Linked DNA regions of Lepisosteus oculatus. The protein of the gene in region 2 interacts with the protein of the main gene of each other region in a biochemical or structural test. Links are inferred from orthologs where the notes say so. Each region holds a gene or a part of one and is shown on either strand. Other genes may lie near its edges. The genes, in order: igf1ra and arhgef12b.

The links.
Region 1: the proteins of arhgef12b (region 2) and igf1ra form a complex in vitro, tested with the Homo sapiens proteins (2 studies listed by BioGRID and IntAct, with this or other methods). The link is inferred for Lepisosteus oculatus from reciprocal best matches to the Homo sapiens genes ARHGEF12 and IGF1R.

Annotation. Positions count from the first base shown.
Region 1 is NC_090700.1:54,513,777-54,522,271, forward strand, and holds the start of igf1ra (insulin-like growth factor 1 receptor), read right to left. Parts: upstream 3,600-8,495; 5' UTR 2,472-3,599; coding exon 2,378-2,471; intron 1-2,377. UniProt on the Homo sapiens protein: Receptor tyrosine kinase which mediates actions of insulin-like growth factor 1 (IGF1). Binds IGF1 with high affinity and IGF2 and insulin (INS) with a lower affinity. The activated IGF1R is involved in cell growth and survival control.
Region 2 is NC_090718.1:14,317,840-14,326,448, reverse strand, and holds the start of arhgef12b (rho guanine nucleotide exchange factor 12), read right to left. Parts: upstream 3,791-8,609; 5' UTR 2,085-3,790; coding exon 2,053-2,084; intron 1-2,052. UniProt on the Homo sapiens protein: May play a role in the regulation of RhoA GTPase by guanine nucleotide-binding alpha-12 (GNA12) and alpha-13 (GNA13). Acts as guanine nucleotide exchange factor (GEF) for RhoA GTPase and may act as GTPase-activating protein (GAP) for GNA12 and GNA13.

The DNA.
Region 1 (8,495 bases), on a different chromosome or scaffold from region 2:
AACTCAGTGATCGCTGGGGCGCCCTCAGCTCTCAAGGATCAGGGTTCTCGTCACCGAGCGGCAGCACACCGAGAGGCCTGGGGGCGCCGGGCCTCACCGCGCAGGCGCCGGCTCGGCTGCCCAATGGAAAGTTACCCAGGTCTGGAGCAGCAGCCCGTCAAACACACGCTGTTGTGACAAAACAACCCGCTTCTACATTTCCCAGCGTAGCAGCCGTGAAGGCTGAGCTAGCGTGCGGGCCACGACGGTCTGTGCGAGCAACAACAACACAGCCGGCCGCCCGAGCGGATGAGCTACAGCGGCGGGGCTCCCCAGTGATCCACTCATCCGTCTGCGTGTCTGCCGCATCCCCCAGAGCTCACCCTTCACCGCTCAAGACATCCTGGACCCCCCCTCACAGAAACTCTCGACCCCTGTCTAAATAAAACAGCTGTACCCTCGCCGCTTGAAAACGCTCTAGCAGCGCGCAAAGCGAAGTATCGGTCAGTGCTGCAGGACTGACAGCTGAGCCGGGCTGTCTTCGACGCTGAAATCGCCAGCCAAGGGCAAAGGGAATTCGTGGCCACTGTAATATATTTTATAACCATCTCCCGTTCGCCACAGCCGTAACATCTGTCAGCGACTGTCAAAATACATCTATTAATTATTAAAATACATCTCAAGCGACGACGGTCGCCCTGGTGCGGGCGCACACGGGCGCTGGAACATGTGCAGAAGAAAAGTCGCACCACGCCACAGGATGTGCATTATAATAACAACAACAACAATCATCATAAAAAATAGTGCGAACACTGGAGCGCGGTAGTAATTTCGGCAGTGCTCGCACGCGCACACGGCGTGCCTCCGCGGGGCGCGTGCGGTCCGGATGCGCGCGGCCACATGGCCAGCCCGAGCACCTTCTCTCCTCGGGGACCGGAAGCCGTGTCCCCGCGCCGCCACGCGCCGCCCGGGGCCCCTCTTGCACCTGATGTCCGCGAGCGTCCTGTCCAGCACGAGGATACTCCCCCCACCACACACACACATATATATATATTCCACGCTGCACACCGCGCGCCCATCGAACCTCTGCCCTGTAGTTCGTGCAAACATGCGACTTTTTTAAATCAGCCTGCGAATAAAACTGGAAACCTTGCACACACGCCGAGCACCCCTCTGTGCGTTCATGCAAATAATCCCCCCCAAAAAAATTCTACTAAATCCTACAATATATATAATTGTCTAGCATTAAAATGTACAACCGAAAAAGCAAGCAACGAAACGTGTTATTTTTAAAACAATTTCAATGTTCAATGCCAGTCAGAAAATCAAATTAAGAACTTACGGCTGGTCTTCGCAAGAGTTCATGTCCTGTTACTATTTCTAAGAAGAAAATCAGTCAGAAATAACTTCAATTGTTTGCCCAGAAAATTGAAAATGATCTGGCATCTAACCGTGCAAGTAAAATGGTTTACTGGGCAGAAAAGCGCACATGTCGGGCTGGACGAGGCTGACCGGGGCTGTCATTCACACCTCCCGAAACGAGCGAAAAATCTGTCGCAAAACTTTCCATGTAAGAGCAAAATTACTAAGGGGACAAGATAAAATCAGAAAAGTGTAGCTGGTCGATTAACCCATCAAACGCCTGGTTAACTGACTAAAATTAAAACAAATACAACCTTGAAAATATATAATTACACACGAAATTAACTCGAAATGTCACTGGCATTTACTAAAAAAAAATAACATGCAGAATAAATTAGGACGGATTATTTTTTAAACTGAGAACATAAATATGAAAATGTAATCCCGGTAGTTGAAATCAGTCGTAATATACAAAACGCAACGGGTAGACCATTTTGCTAAAACACGGGTGCCTCGTTATGAAGATGTTAAATTGAGGTTATCTCCAAACGCTTGCTAAACATTTGTATATTCACTTTTAAGAATATCAACCGAATGACACTCTATACTGAACATAGACTGTAATTGTAAACAACGTTCACAGTATCCTTTAAAATAAGTTTTATTCTGTGAACTATTCAAACTGATTGAAGTCCAACTTGCACCTCACCTGTTCAAACTTCAACGCTTCACCTCGTATTAAATCATTACCAGTTGTTCCTTACTGTTGAACCCAGTGCTAACCTACATATTAAAATCTCCCTGAAGTGTCTAGCTAGCTAGTTATAAATGAAAAGGCGATAAAGAGAAGTTAACTTCGGGGTCAAACTTCACACTACGTTTTTTTTAAGTAAAAGCTAGCAAACAGCACGTAAACGAGCTAACCACAACAACAAGAAGACGCTTTCAAAAACGTTATACATTTTCCATTTACGATTAATGCATTAGACGAAAGAACGGGATTTTGTAACTGGAAAATAAAAACTTGTGTACTTACTTTCTCCATTAGCCGGCCATAGGGAGATCACGGAGATAGACAGCAACAGACCCCAAAACAAGGTCAAAATATCCCTTTCTGTCCCAGACCTCATTCCTCTTGAGAAAATTCCCCCCCCCAAAAAAAAATAAAAATAAAAAAGTGTTTCAAAATGCCCCGTCACAAACCAAAAAAACAACCCTAAAACAAGAAAACGCTTCTCAGTTTCCGAGAAGCAGGCTTTGAAGCAAATTCTCCTTATTGTTGACTCCTGGTAGGAAGAACGGGAGAATTAAAAAAAAAACTTAAATCCTTGCTTTTTTAAGGTGATCGCTCGTGTCCTGTGGTCTTTATTTATCTTCTCCAAACGAACTCACACACACACCAAAAAAAAATTGGAGATGGAAAAGGCTTTGTTAGGCTTGCCAACAATACAACGCATGAAAGATTGCTAACGAAACACGCGAGTCGCAGCTTTCGCTCGGCTGATAGTCCGCATCCTCAGCCTCCATTTCTTGAAAGACCACGGAGAGGGGAGACGCACACTTCGCTCGCTCGCCAGACAAAACAACAGAAAAATACAACAACAACAACAAGCAGAAGAAGAAGCAGCCGCGCTGTCTTGTCGTGCCCCTCCGGTTTATCTGTTTCTCCCCCCAATTACAATTTGCAAGATCCGCCAGACGCGGGGAAGACCCTCCCGAGGCCGGGCTCCGGGTTTCGGCGAGAAACGCAGGGGGGGACAAAATGAATGAAAATACAACTCCTTCTCTCGCCGAGTCTGTCTGTCTCTCTCTCCCTCCCCCTTTCTCCTCTCTCTCTCTCTACGGCTTGAGCTCCATCCAAAATATCCGTCAGGACAAAAATGGTTCACCAACTGTACCCCCTCCCCCTGTCCCTCTCCCTCTCTCCTTCCTTCTTTCTCTCTCGCCCGCTCCGTCTTTTCTGTGACTTGCGGTGGATGTATCTATCCCTTTCTCCCACGCTGAAAAGGAACAGAGATTGAAAAAGGTCTCCGTCGAAATTTGCAAATGCAGCGGCACGCCGTCGTATTGTTGTTGGGGTTTTTTTTCTTTCTTCTTCTTCTTCTCCTCCTTCCTTCTTTCTCTGAACCGGGGGAGAGAAAGCTGAAGGTGAAGCGGTCTACTTTCCCGTGGCTACGGTCTCACCCGTCTCCACTGTCTGTGTCTGCCTGCTGGAATCAGCGCTGTAAACAAGTCGCCTGCTCTCACACAGACACACACACATACGCTAACTAGAGCAGACGGGAAAAGCTGGCATGGAGTTTCCCCGTCTGGCCACTCCGCTCCACGCCGAAAGAAACTGGTTTTCCTTCGGATGTTGTTTTCCTCTGATCTTTTTTTTTCTTCTTTTTGGGTTTGCATCGACAGTATTTCTTTTATCTCGGCCCAGTCAAACGCGGAGTTATCAGAAAACCTCCGGGACAGATAAATCACGGAGTTAGCGTTGGTATTTGTCTACAGCCCCGTGGCTGTTTTCGCTGCCAACCAATTTTAAATGTAAATCGGGAAGAATGAATGGTGTTAACCAAGCATACTAAAAAGAGTTTTACCGCATTGTATGCAGTTGTGCAACGTGCTCAGGGGAGTGCAGTGACAGATACATACTGTACATGTGCTCACAGCACAACTAAATAGCTTTCTGATGCAGCAAAAAACAACACAATTTTATGATTATTACACACAGCCCAGAACGACCAAAGTTTTTACTTTTCACTTCCACTTTATTCAGGTTTTGATCACAAGCTCCCACATAAACCCAGACGTTTGATTTATGTGATTCATTGCACTTAAATAAACCAGTCATTATAACGAAATATTTTGGAAAAGAGTATGTTGCTATTACTCTTTGCACTCATGGAAAACACCTTTTTAAGTCATAGCAAAAGCATGCAAAGTTTTAAACAACAGTGTTACTCAATAGGAGATGTCAGTTTGAGCCAGACGTTAAACACAGATCGCCGGCTTTGCAGACAAGATGATTGGGGCATCACCAGTCTGCCTCGCACAAGGTAGCATCCAGCAAACTAGAGGCAATGAATATATCACACTGCCTGCGCAGCTGCCAGCGATAACGCTGTAAGGAATAAGAAAGAATAACCTGTCACCAGTCTATATGTTTCAAGGCTTGACTTCACCGCAGATTCTGCACCACACAGAGTGAATGGAGACCAGCAAGCCCGGTCCTGGCATGTGCTTCTTCCACCTGTCTCTCCACATGCTGACCGGTGCCTGACAGGAGAGCTGGTGCCCACTGAGGTCAAGAGGTAGCATTTCAATAACCTGATCAAGGGGGAGAGGTGGCGTGATTGGAATAGCAAACCTGTCCTTGTCTTCTGGGCATATCCATAGGAGTGGGCAAGGTTAGGGTTGGACCTGCTCCTGAGCTCTTGTTTTAAACTCCACTTACCTTGTGTACACAATGGTGTCACAGAATGATTTGCGGGAGATATGTTGTTTACAGGTTACATCACCCTAATGTAACTTTCCTTGGTAAAACATGTTTCGGTGTACAACTGATCACATGACCGTCTAGAGCCAGGTTTCTGCCTGGAGCAATAACGACCAGTCTCTGCCGTAACACTGCCCATTGAAGTGTCTTCTAGCGTCGGGACAGTTTTGACCCTCAGCAGCCCTCAGAGGCCTCAGAGCGATGGTCCTTGGTACCTCAAAAGTGGAGAAGCACTGGTTTAGATTACATCCATCATCGTATTTAATAACATCTTTATTTGATCCAGTTAACACTGTTCAACTGCATAATATTGCATGGACACAGCAAGAAGTATGACAAGCGAAAGAAGGAATTTGTAAAGAGTAACTCCTTCTGGAATAGCAAGAACAGAGCAGACCAGCTCTGAAGGGCTGCAATCCGGGAGGTATTACAGGTCCCCCTGAATCAGAAAGTTTTAAATCCTTGGAAGAATTTCATTTTGTCCAAGTAAGCAGGTGATTTATGCAATTACTGGAGGTAGTTTAGAGGTCATTTGAAAAGAAAATCCCCCAACCCTGCTGCTTTCAAGTACCACAGCTGGCACATTTGTGACTTGACCGAACAAATTAACTTACGAAATCGAAAACTCACGTCTGCTCCACGTCTTTACAAACTGCCGATGCAAGAGCCACCTACAATATAACACCTGTTGGACTGGCCACCTCTGGTCACCCCTGTCATAGCAGATGTTACAGGATGAAGGAGCTGAGCAGTGGAGATGGAGGATTGAACAGGACAGTATCTGTGCTCGACCAGATGACTGACAACCGTCCGTGTAACATTGTCATGTAACCAAACTGTGTCATTGTACAGTTTGTTGACCTCAATTGAAGCAGCCAATTCTCAGTCCTTCATGAGTAGAGGTGAAGCACAGCCTCCAAGCTTTCAGCGTAGCACAAACTGGACACGTGCAGGGTCAGTGGCAGTAGCTGTGTGGTTGTTGCTGAGCCGAGTGTTTTCTACGATGTCGAGCGCGTGCTCCTGAGTCAGCGCCCTCGCCCGGATCAGCCCTGGAGCAGCCACTTGACAATGAGCCGGCTCTCCCGGCACTCCGAGCATGTCTGCACTACGTCTTCGCCCCAAACAACAGAGTATTTCACACAGCACCTTTCAGTAATCACGTATAGCTTACTCCATTTCCATTCTTCACCAAGATGGCCAGCTCTTGCAATCATATATATACTAGTAAGCTTCTAAAGTTTTATATTTGGCTATACATGATATGTTTGTAAGTGTGAAAAAAATTCAAGGGTATTGCAATGTAATATTCAATGTAATGAATAATAAGAAATGACAGGTTAACTGACTTTGGTATGGGTAACAGAATCCTGCCTCAAACATAGGAAAGATTCTGAAGAAGCAATTTGGTTGCTAGTAGCTAATTGATGGAAGCATCTCACCCAGCTGTGTTGTGAAATACAGTGAGAGAAGTCCTCAGTGCCTTGATTCAGACTATAGGCACCTGATTTCGTTTGCCTGAACTGGTTGGTTGCACGCACTTTGTGCTTTTAGATGATATTCACTGGAGAAATGTAATACATAGTTTAGGTGTGATTGCCAGCACTATTACCATCCACCTGAACAATCAGTCCATCAGCAACTAAAACTCCAAATCCCCTTGCAACGGTCTGTGTGAAGAGAATTATTGCGATTCACATGTACTTGACGGATACACGTCAAATATCTAGATGAATATATGTGAAACAGTGCACACAATCATCAGACAAGCATGAAACAGTTAAAACAGGAGCATCAATGCGGAAACAATTATGTGTCAATTTCTATTATCATAATCACAGATTTGAATGGGAGGCTAAATACAGCTTAAGCTTTTGAATTAAAAGCTGAATATGACTCATGAGGTACCTGATGGTGATATCGGTGTTATTTACAGTTCTCTCTCTGCTGTCAGGGGGAATGAGAGTTTTGTTTGTGTAGATGAAGGGCACTTCTGCAGGGCTTATAACTCTTGCTCTTTTTATCTCCAACAGAATTTAGACATCACGTTTGCCTGGAGATTGTGCAGACCGCCAGCCCCCCAGACAGACAGATACAGTAGATGGTCAGACAAAAAAAGGGATTTTTACTGTAGTTCAAAATGATTTTTTAAAATGAAAGAGGTGGTAACAACCTATAAATGTGAGTTAAGAGTTTAACTTTAAATGCCAGTATTTTATCATACTATGCAAGAGTAAGTAGGAAGCAGACATTTTTGTTGCTTGCAGTTGTGTCCCACTGCACATTTTGTTTTTCATCTCAGCCTCCACTCACCATTGACATTTAGCACTGTTTGCGGTCCCTGTAAATGCTGACAAGAGGAATCATTTCAACAAACTTTAAAAAAGGTGATCCTATTATATGGACTCAAAAAGTCTGAATGCAGTCTCCAGTTGTGGACTGTAGTCTCCACTAAAATGCACCTTTGTAGCCAAAATTTATTTAGCACCTTTGGATGTCAGGAAACAAGGCATTCCACAGTGGGCTTACGTCCTTTCATCATTCAGCTTTCTTAGGCTTCTTTCATCCTCCTGATACTCTTGATTCTTCTTCAGCAGATTAAAGGCTTTTGTAAAGTTCAACATGGTTGTAATGTTAAACACTTAACTTTCAAAAACAGAGTGCAAAAAACATTTTATTATGAAAAGGGGACAATACATATTGGAGAACCTTCTTATTAGTCGCTGGTCCCCATCGCAAGAACATATCGAAGGCACAAACCAGAGGAGTCCATTTCGGCCATGTGCTAGCGAGTAGCTAATTGATCCCAGCATCCCATTCAGCTGTTTACTGAAACAAGCCAGGTTATCGGCTTTGGCAACATGGCTGGCAGGCCTGTTCCAGACTCCCACACCCCTCATGTCAGAACCATCCTGGAAAACAGCAGCTCACCCACTGGTGACATGGGGATGACAGAGAAGGCAGTGGCTCTGATATAGCAGGCAAATTCTAACTGGGGGGGGGGGTCGACAAAATTAAACACGCATATTCATGTGCAATTTCATGCAGAAATGTGCAGTAACATGTCATCCTTCCACAGCTGAAGTATTTTCTCTGCAGATCAGGACAGCTAGCCCTGATAAAGAACCACTACAACAATCCCTGTAATATTCTCTAATAACCATAATTACCTTTGGTAAGTAATGGTATACCACAGTTTACTCTGCAAAAGTCCTACAGAATTTACTTCCACTAAGTGCTGTAGGATTGGGCGATGATGATAACAGTTAAAGAACTCTACCATAGTAAACTCCAAAATAGTGCAGAAAGCCATGATCAACACCATTGCAAACTATAATAATAAAATAATAATAATAATAATAATTGCTTACACTTATATAGCGCTTATCATAATGGACATGGGCTTACTTTACTGCAATATTTGCAGTAGGACACTTGAGGCTTTCCCACAGTGGTATTTCACCTGAGAGGCATGCCTGAGGTAGGTAATTAATGAAAACTCTGAAGCTATTTTATGAGCATATGAATCAGGAACACCCTATCATATGAGAGGCTGTAGCCCAACAGAATACTTACTGTAGGTAACACCTCCTGCAGTACCCGCTCGCTGAACTCACCTAGCCTGCTCTAGAGGCACCATTCTGGTGAAGGTTTGGCAAACAAAATCTCT
Region 2 (8,609 bases):
CCGAGTAGTCCTATCCCACACACACACACACAATCTCCACAAGAAAGACAGCTCCCAAGTGCTCAAGAGCTCCACTACATCAGCCTCTGCGCTGCACCAAACAGCACCACGCAGGCCACAGGCTGCACACCAGAGAGGAAGACGAGGCGAGGAAGGGTGCCGAGCCGAACTCCTCGCCAGCAGAGGGGGGCGGGGGCGTCTCTGCACACAGCGACGGCTTCAGTCTTCGGCAAAGGCAGCAAGACCACCGACACGCAAGCCACACAGCAGAGATCTGCGCGTCGGAGAAGCAGGGAAAGACTTGGCTCGTTTTTTTTCCCCAGCTAAGAGGGGAGGGAAGCAGGAGGGTCAGCGGACAAGAAATCAAACGGGGGGGATCTGCAGATGGGAAAGGTCTTCGGGGCCAAGCCAGGAGGGAGACGATGCGGACAGGGCCGGCACCCGGGCGCAGGCAGGGACTGAGGTGCTCCGACACCCGGATGAGGTTTTGCTTCCCACTGCCCAGCCCACCCAGCACACCGCATACTGGGGAGCAGGGAGGCCGAAACACAAAACCCCAAACCCCTCTCCACACAAGGGGCAGGCCCGTTCTGGCGGGGCTGGAGAGAGACAAGCGGCCCGAGAGCCACTCTGCCGAGGAGGGTGCCGAACTGCAGGCCGGGCCCTCTGGGGGCCCCTCCAGCTCAGCTGCTATTCAGAACGGACAACACATCTCAGAGCAAAGGTGCTCCCGAGCAGGCAGGCCACGCCAACACACGGCCTTCCGGTCTCCTGTACTTGGGGGACCAGAGGCTTCAGGCACGGCCTTCGGATCGCACAGCTCGTGATCCGACTGACCCCCTCTCAGTCCCTGCTGGGGCACCGACACACAGCGCCAGGGGGAGACCAGCACAGAAGAGCACTGCGCTGGCTCGCTCGCTTCTTCTCCCCAGGATGAAATGCAGAAATGCCATTTAAATCACAGAAAACAAACAAAAACAAAATGAATTCGGAAAAGAAATCCCTCTCTCCACCCTGTCCCTGGGTAAATCGCTCCCCGGCACCTGTCGGGAGCAGTCACAAGCAGGTGAACCAGTCGAGTAAAAACTGACCCTGCGGACGGGTCAGCCGTCCGGCCCAACCCCATCCTCCGCCGGACCGGGACGTCACCCTGCAAGAACCCCAGGGGCGCGCAATGCAAGCCAGTCGTCAGACAGGCAGACCGCTGGTCCCTTGGCATGAGGGTGGCTTCAGTCCACATCGCCACACCTGCCACCAAAACCGCTGGGCACCAGAAGAAAGCACCGCAGGTACTGGAACAGAGAGCCCCGACACTGAGCACACATGCCCGGCGCCTCTGGGGTCTGAGCCCCAGTGCTGGGGCGCACACGCACGAACACGCAGCGGCGCGTTATGCAATCCAAGGCGCTTGTCGTGCAGACGGAACCCACTCCATTGCCGCCTGCAACTTCGCTGCGCGCAAAAGCACCCGGTCCTTCCCCACCCCGGAAAGCCGTTCGGGCTCCGCTTCGATTGCATTCCGCCCCTCGGAAATCTGAGCATGCGAGATCGTATGAGACCGAAGACGGGGGGCCCTTCGTCAATGAACGTCGCGCATATGTGTCACGCTCCGTAACATGACCGTATCGGCCACAAGGTCAAAACCATTCGGTGTGGGGAATACAAACAACCCCATCTCCGACCACCTTTCACGCAGTTCAGAAATGAAACTGAGCTTTGGACGTGCGAAGCCCACCCGACTCCCGCGTGCCCCGCCGCGCCGCGCGATCTCGCCCACCCGGCGCGGCGACACTGCGCTCGCTCCCGCGGCCCCGACAGCTTTGTTCCCACCGCCAGGTTTTATCTGCACATACTGTAGCATCGTTTCTCTCCGGATCAACGCCTGACAAACAGACTGAGGGGAGGGGTGATAAACCACATTAAAATAAAACATTAATGGGAGACATCACGCCGCGCCGTGCAAACAAACAAAAAAAAAAGACACTTTTTGCCTTGCACGCCTGGAAATGATATCAACAAAAGCCAAGACAAACGCCACCGCGAATCGCTTACCTGTCAGTGATTGTAGACTGTGTGCCGCTCATTGGGCTTCTGTTTCGAGTTTTGCTTCGGCTCTTATCCAATTAGCATTTTAACAAAAATAAAAATACCCTCCGTCTGTCGGGAAAGTAGCAGGTCCCTCCTAATATCCGTCAGGATGCTCTCTCTCTCTCTCGTGTGTGTGTGTGTGTCACAAATGCCAACAATGATACGAATATCGCTGAAGAACAAACCCCAGTGGACGAGATGTCGGGCAGACTTCTGTCGAGATTCCGCAGCGCGACGACTCTTTCTCCCACACCGGGCGCACGACAACAATAATGTAAACGGGGATCCTTCCACTGGAGCGGGAAGAAAAATTGTATCTCATATAAATAAATGGATCTAAAAATGAAGCAGATCCGGGCGATCGCTGTACAATCCTAAGAGAATCCGGAAGGGTCTGACGCGGGGAATGCGCGAAAGGCTTTTTCCCCCAAAAAAAAATCCGCAGGACGGGATTCCCGAGCACGCGTCGCCCCCTGGCTCCGTCTCCCCGCCGCCTGGTGCTCAATTCCGCCGGCGCACTGAAATTCCTATTGTGAAGGCGCTTCCCGGCTGGAAAACTCTCCTTTCTCCGGCTTCGCCTCTGTTCCCTTCGAATCCTGCCTTTACAGTCGGCGAGGTTCTCATCACACCACCGTGGGGTCCCCTCCACACCCCCCCACCCGTCCTGCTGCTGCTGCTGCGGCGGCGGCTATTTCTGTTTCTGTTTTTGTTTTTTTTTTAAACGATGCTTTTAGGAATATACATCCCTATTCGGTTTCCCCCCCGGAGCCGTGCCCGCCGTCGCTCATCCTACTGCGCCGCCCGCTCCCTCCCGACCAGCTCGGGGGACTTTCCCGAAGCCCGGCGCGAGCAGCCCGTCCCGGTCGCGCGACTCACAGCATTCCCGGCCGCGAGGACTCCCATTAGCCTCCCGGCTCCTCAGAGCCCCGCTGTCCAGAAACAGGCCCTCCTGCTTTGCCGATATTCCAATGAATAATGAAAAGGAAAAAAAAGACTACCCCCCCCCTCCTCCTCCTCCTCCTGCTCCTGCTCCTGCTCTTCCAAAAACCTGCAAATTCTTGTCCTTTTTTTTTCTAATTTTGAGATTCCCCCCTTCCCGATCCTTACATAGCAACCCGAGGCGCGCCCGCACGGCTGTGCGTGGTTTTTAAAACGCGATCTCCCCCCCCCCCTTGTTGTTTTTTTTTTTTTTTCCAGCAACACGAACTCCCAGATTTCCTCAGCAAGGCAGTCCGGCGCTTTCCAGGGCAAAAACTTTTTTGGTGTTCTCTCGATACTCGGCTTCCCTCTTATTCCCCGATCCGAAAACAGATCTTTTCCACAAAAAAGGGGAACAGCGAAGGGATGAGGCTACAAATCGAACCGGTTTCAGCTCCGGGCGACACTTCAAATTCCCCGATATGTTGGACTTGCAGACGAAATCCCTCAAACTTGCGCGGAATACCCTTCTCTCCGTGTCTCCATGTTTTTGCAATCCAGTGTTTTGCTTCTGTCCCGTTTCCCACCCTTATTCTTTCTGCCGCACGGTAGCAACGCTCCCAGATAGAAGAAACCCCTTTATTTTAAACTCTTCAAACAACAGACCGTAAACTTCTGAGTTTTTCTTTAACGGCCGCAAGTCTTCCTTTCTCTTCTTACAGTCTATTACTTTCAACAAATTGACAATACCTCCCCGATCACTCCGCCCAGACTGATCGCTCCCTCATTCCTGCGTCTACTTCCGCCCAACCAAAAACATATAATCCCAAAGAGAACTTTGGGAAGAACGGGGATCGGTATTTTTTACTAGATATCCCATGTGAAAATGGCTTTAATTTGTGAGGTTTATTTTCCTGATAATAAAGTTTTATAAATTGGACAAGAAAGTGAAATGTAGTATATAACGCGTGTTTTATTTGTGTTAATGTATCCACTGTGTCATTGTTTAGTTCCCATATCTTGACATCACGGTAAGGGAAAATGACATTTGTAAAACACATTAGAGTATTTTTTTTTTTTATTCTTTCAACTCGATGCCCAAGCAATATTACGTGGATGATGCTTGGAAACCGAGTATATTATGTCATTAAAACGACGTGCGGCAAGCTGAGATTGTATCGTGTCAAATTGTCACGGTACCTAAAACGCAGCCATCGCCTGGTAGATAGTATTGACCTCCCTTATAATTGCATCACACCCTCCGAGTTTCGCCAGGTCTTTTCTGTAAGACTGGTGGGGGCGCTTACGCTTAGTGAATTGAGTGGGTTTTATCAAGGCTGCCTGACGTTTTGTGCTCGTCAGTTCCCCGACTACGTGACAGAACAGCATGGAATGCAAGGCGCTCTGCCGTTAAGACAATCGTCTCTCGCAGAGGGTAAAGTCTGCACACAAATTAAGCAATTAAGCGGGCAGTTATCGGATCCACTAGAGGCTGTGCAGAGAGATTTATCAGGAGCTCGATTTCCTGGCTGTCCCACAGCCCCAGTGACCTCTTTCATCGTTACACAGTTGCTAGAATTTGTAAGTTTTTTTTATGTCGGAAGACATCAGAAGCCAGCACAAAATACATCCCGTGAATAATGATACTAATGCTTGTACTGGGTTAGAAAAAGGAGGTTCCTTTTTTACACAAAGAGTGGCGAGTGTCTGGAGCAAACTGCCCAGCTATGTTATTGAAGCCAGATTCCTGGGATATTTCGAGAGGTGGCTGGATCAACAGCAGCTAAACAAGCAGAGCGCTCCTTCCTGTGACTTCTCTTTCGTTCTTACGTTCGTGAAGAGAGCAGGTCTCAGCTACTCCTCCTTAGAGGGAGAGTCAGCAAAACCCGAAGTGGATCTCCTCCCTGGAGGAGGACACAAGCCGCCAGGGTTCACCTGGGAGACGGGTTAGGCGTCCAGTCGTGGTGGTGGACCGCGGCGTGTCGTGCACCTCGTTAACAAACAGAGAGAGCTCAGAAAGCTGTAAGATCGGCCCAGTTAAGCCAGTACCCAGCTGTTTAAGCCCGTGAAGAGATGACCTGGAATGAAAACCCATATACATACACCAGACCTCCAGGGCCAGGACTGGACACGCATAACGGAAGTGCTCAGACCAGTTATATATGAAATGTATTTGTTTAACCACCGTACAGTGTGGTGTCTAGGCCTACAGGATCCTGAGGCACCTTGCAGGTTCTGAACTACAGGGATCACTTTGGTGAGAAAACCTCATTACCATTCGGCCACTGACCCAGAACATAGGGCTGTATGCAGACGCTCAAGCCAGTAGCAATGTCACTCTGTAACTCACAACTGGCAGCCCCACTGGAGCTCAGCAGGTGTGAGCCTGGTCAGTACCTGGATGGGAGACTCCTGGGAAAAACTAAGGCTGCTGCTGGAAGAGGTGTTAGTAGGACCAGCAGGGGGCGCTCACCCTGTGGTCCACGTGGGTCCTAATGCCCCAGTATAGTGACGGGGACACTATATTGTAAACAGGCGCCGTCCTTCGGATGAGACGTAAAACCGAGGTCCTGACTCTCTGTGGTCATAAAAAATCCCAGGGTGTTTCTAGAAAAAATTAGGGGTGTAACCCTGCTGTCCTGGCCAACTTTCCCGTTGGCCCTTATCAATCATGGCCTCCTAATAATCCCCCTCTATGAATTGGCTTCCTTGCTCTCCTCCCCACTGAGAGCTGGTGTGTGGTGAGCGTTCTGGGCACAATGGCTGCCCTTGCATCATCATAGCTGCACATTGGTGTGGTGCAGGGGATCCCCATTACCTGTAAAGCATTTTGAGTGGAGTGTCCAGAAAAGCACTATGTAAGTGTAAGCAATTATTATTATTATTATTATTATTATTAGTTTAGGTGAGTAGCTTTGTCAGCATGCGTAGGCTGCAAAGAAACAAGTAATAGGTTTATTCCATACTCCACCTGAAGGTAACAAACCTATTTCTTGTTCATTATTATTCTCTAGAAATAAAAGTGGACACAGCCTCGCCCCTTCGCAGTGAAAACAGGGCCATTCCTCCAGGATTTAGTCATGAGAGAATCCGAGCATGCTCGCATCCCGGCTCGGGTTTTTTTTTTACTGTTTCCTACTTTTCAGTTAATGATTTACAAAAAAAGAATATTTCTTCGCAGATCTGCGCCGGATAAATGCAATGCTTATCTCCGGGTGTTATCTCTAAACAAACAAGGATCCCTGATGTAATGTCTGAAAGCAGGGCTGTGTGATTCCTAGCGCGGCCTACAAGCTGCACAGAGGTCGGTCCCGACCATCGCGATCGATGTGAACGGCTTCCTAAAATCCGATGACCAGCATCAGTCCCCCGGAAGCTGGAGAGCTCAGAGCCCCCTGGGAATTCAATACTTTTTAAAGCGCCTGTCATATCTGACGTCCTCCTCAAGGCAGAAATCAATGCAATCGCAGCCAAGGGGCTGTATGCGTTTCCGAAATGAGTAGCTGTTCATTTCTTATTAGAAAATGCTGCAAAGTTGTAAAGCGATCCAAAAATGTTTCAAGGTCCCAAGAATGACAAAAAATAGTTGAGACGTGTAAATGTTTGTTTTTTTTTTGGTTTTGCATTTGTGACCATGTAAAATAGGTATGAAACGAGACGTGCACCACATTTTATTGCATTTCTCACATAATGTCCCAGCCTCTGTCCCAGTCCTCCCTTCACGGGAAGATGACAGATGAAGAAGATTCACGGGAAGATGACAGATTAAGTCTGTAATAGGGGGTCCGGAACTTCAGTTTTACAAAAGTCGCGACGGAGAGTCGGAAGTAGTAAGATGCAATATTGATTTTAGGACGGAAGCCGGCAAAGAAGACTTCATGGTTACGAACACAAACAAATCAAAGTCAAGTTGAAAATATAAGATAAAGCACCATTTCATGTCCATCAGGCCTGCGATGCTTTTTGTTCTGGACTAGTAAGTTTACAGCCAGTGATGGGAAAAATACTTAATTGTGACCATGATCATGTAACGAACGTAGTCAAATACAATTGCTCGTGTAGGGGTCTGTTATGTTTAATAGTTTCTCTACGATAACCTCATACTGTACATGCAATACAGATCAATGTTTAAGTATTTCCCCCGACCCCAAATTCATGTTAATTTTACAAAAGTAACCCCTTACATAAGCAACTTGCATCTGAGTGGACTTTCCACTTGACTCCCAGTACCCGAGTGCCAAATTCGGCGTTTTGTTTGCAAAACTAAAGCATGCGAAAAAGTGGAGTAACCTGCCACCTACCGGACAGATGGCAATATTACATGTTTCTCTGACAATCGGAGTAATTGAACAATTCCTGACCAGATCAACTGCAGCGTTTCCTGAAAGGCAGGTAAGTAATGTAAATTGGAACCTGCAAAGGAGTTAAAGAAAGCAACAGTTCCTCGGATTTCCACTTTTTATGTGCATAAAGCATTCTCGGAGATGATTTGAGTTTGTGATAATGAGTAAGGGTGTCGCAGAGTGGCACAGTGGTTAGCATTGCAGTGCTGGGGCTCTGGGTTCAATTTCAGACCTGGGATGCTGTCTGTTTGGAGTTTGTATGTTCTCCCCATGTTCACCTGTGTTTCCTCTGGGTGCTCCAGTTTCCTCCCACAGTCCAAAAACGTGCAGGTGGGTTAATTGGCTTAAAGGAACATTGGCCCAGGTGTGAGTGAATGTGTTTATGTCTGTGTCTGTGTGTGCCCTGCCTTGGACTGGTGTCCCCTCCAGGGTGTACCCTGCCTCGAGCCCTTTGCCTGCTGGGATAGTCTCCGAATTAGACCCTGAATTGGAAGAAGTGGTTACAAATTGGATGGATAATGAGTTACTCTCCACTGACATATCTGAACTTATACTTCCAGTCAACCTATTTCTGATATGAAATGTGCTACAGCATCCTCACCCATGAACTATTCTAACTTTTACTAAATAAACATCTGGTCATCACTTTGATCCTTTGAGTTTTTGAGTCTTATTTTCACCCCAAAGACATTTCTGAAAACATTGTCCCTCTCAGTGATTTTTGTGAATATAACAGTCCTAAACAGACTGTTGACTACCAATGACTACTGATGTATGCAGCGGAATCTGTAAAATGCAAAAGGAAAGTAAAAGGAATTAAGTTCTGTTTTTTCTAATAAAGACATCACCAGCCCCACATTGTACTGAATTTCAATGTTTTAATTAATGTCAATACAAACTTGAACTCTCATTTAAAAATATTCTAGTTATATGACATTTTAATTCCACAAAATAAGACCTCCAGTTGTTTGATGTGTTTTAGCTTTTTATGTATGAGCTCGTTTCACAATCGACTCAGCAGGTGATCAATGAAGAAGCTGTTTCTGTGTACTGTGGTAAAGGGAACCTACCCTCCAAATTCCCCAGGATGAAGATAAACCAAGGAAGTTTACAAACAGCCCTCTGGACTCGTCCCCATCATGACTGAAGGGATAAAAACGCTTCATTTTAATAACACAGGATATCATATTTTCAGTCAAAACCAGTTTCAATGGTATTCAAAAGTGGCTTTACAGTTTCAAAAGTGTAAAAAATATTCAT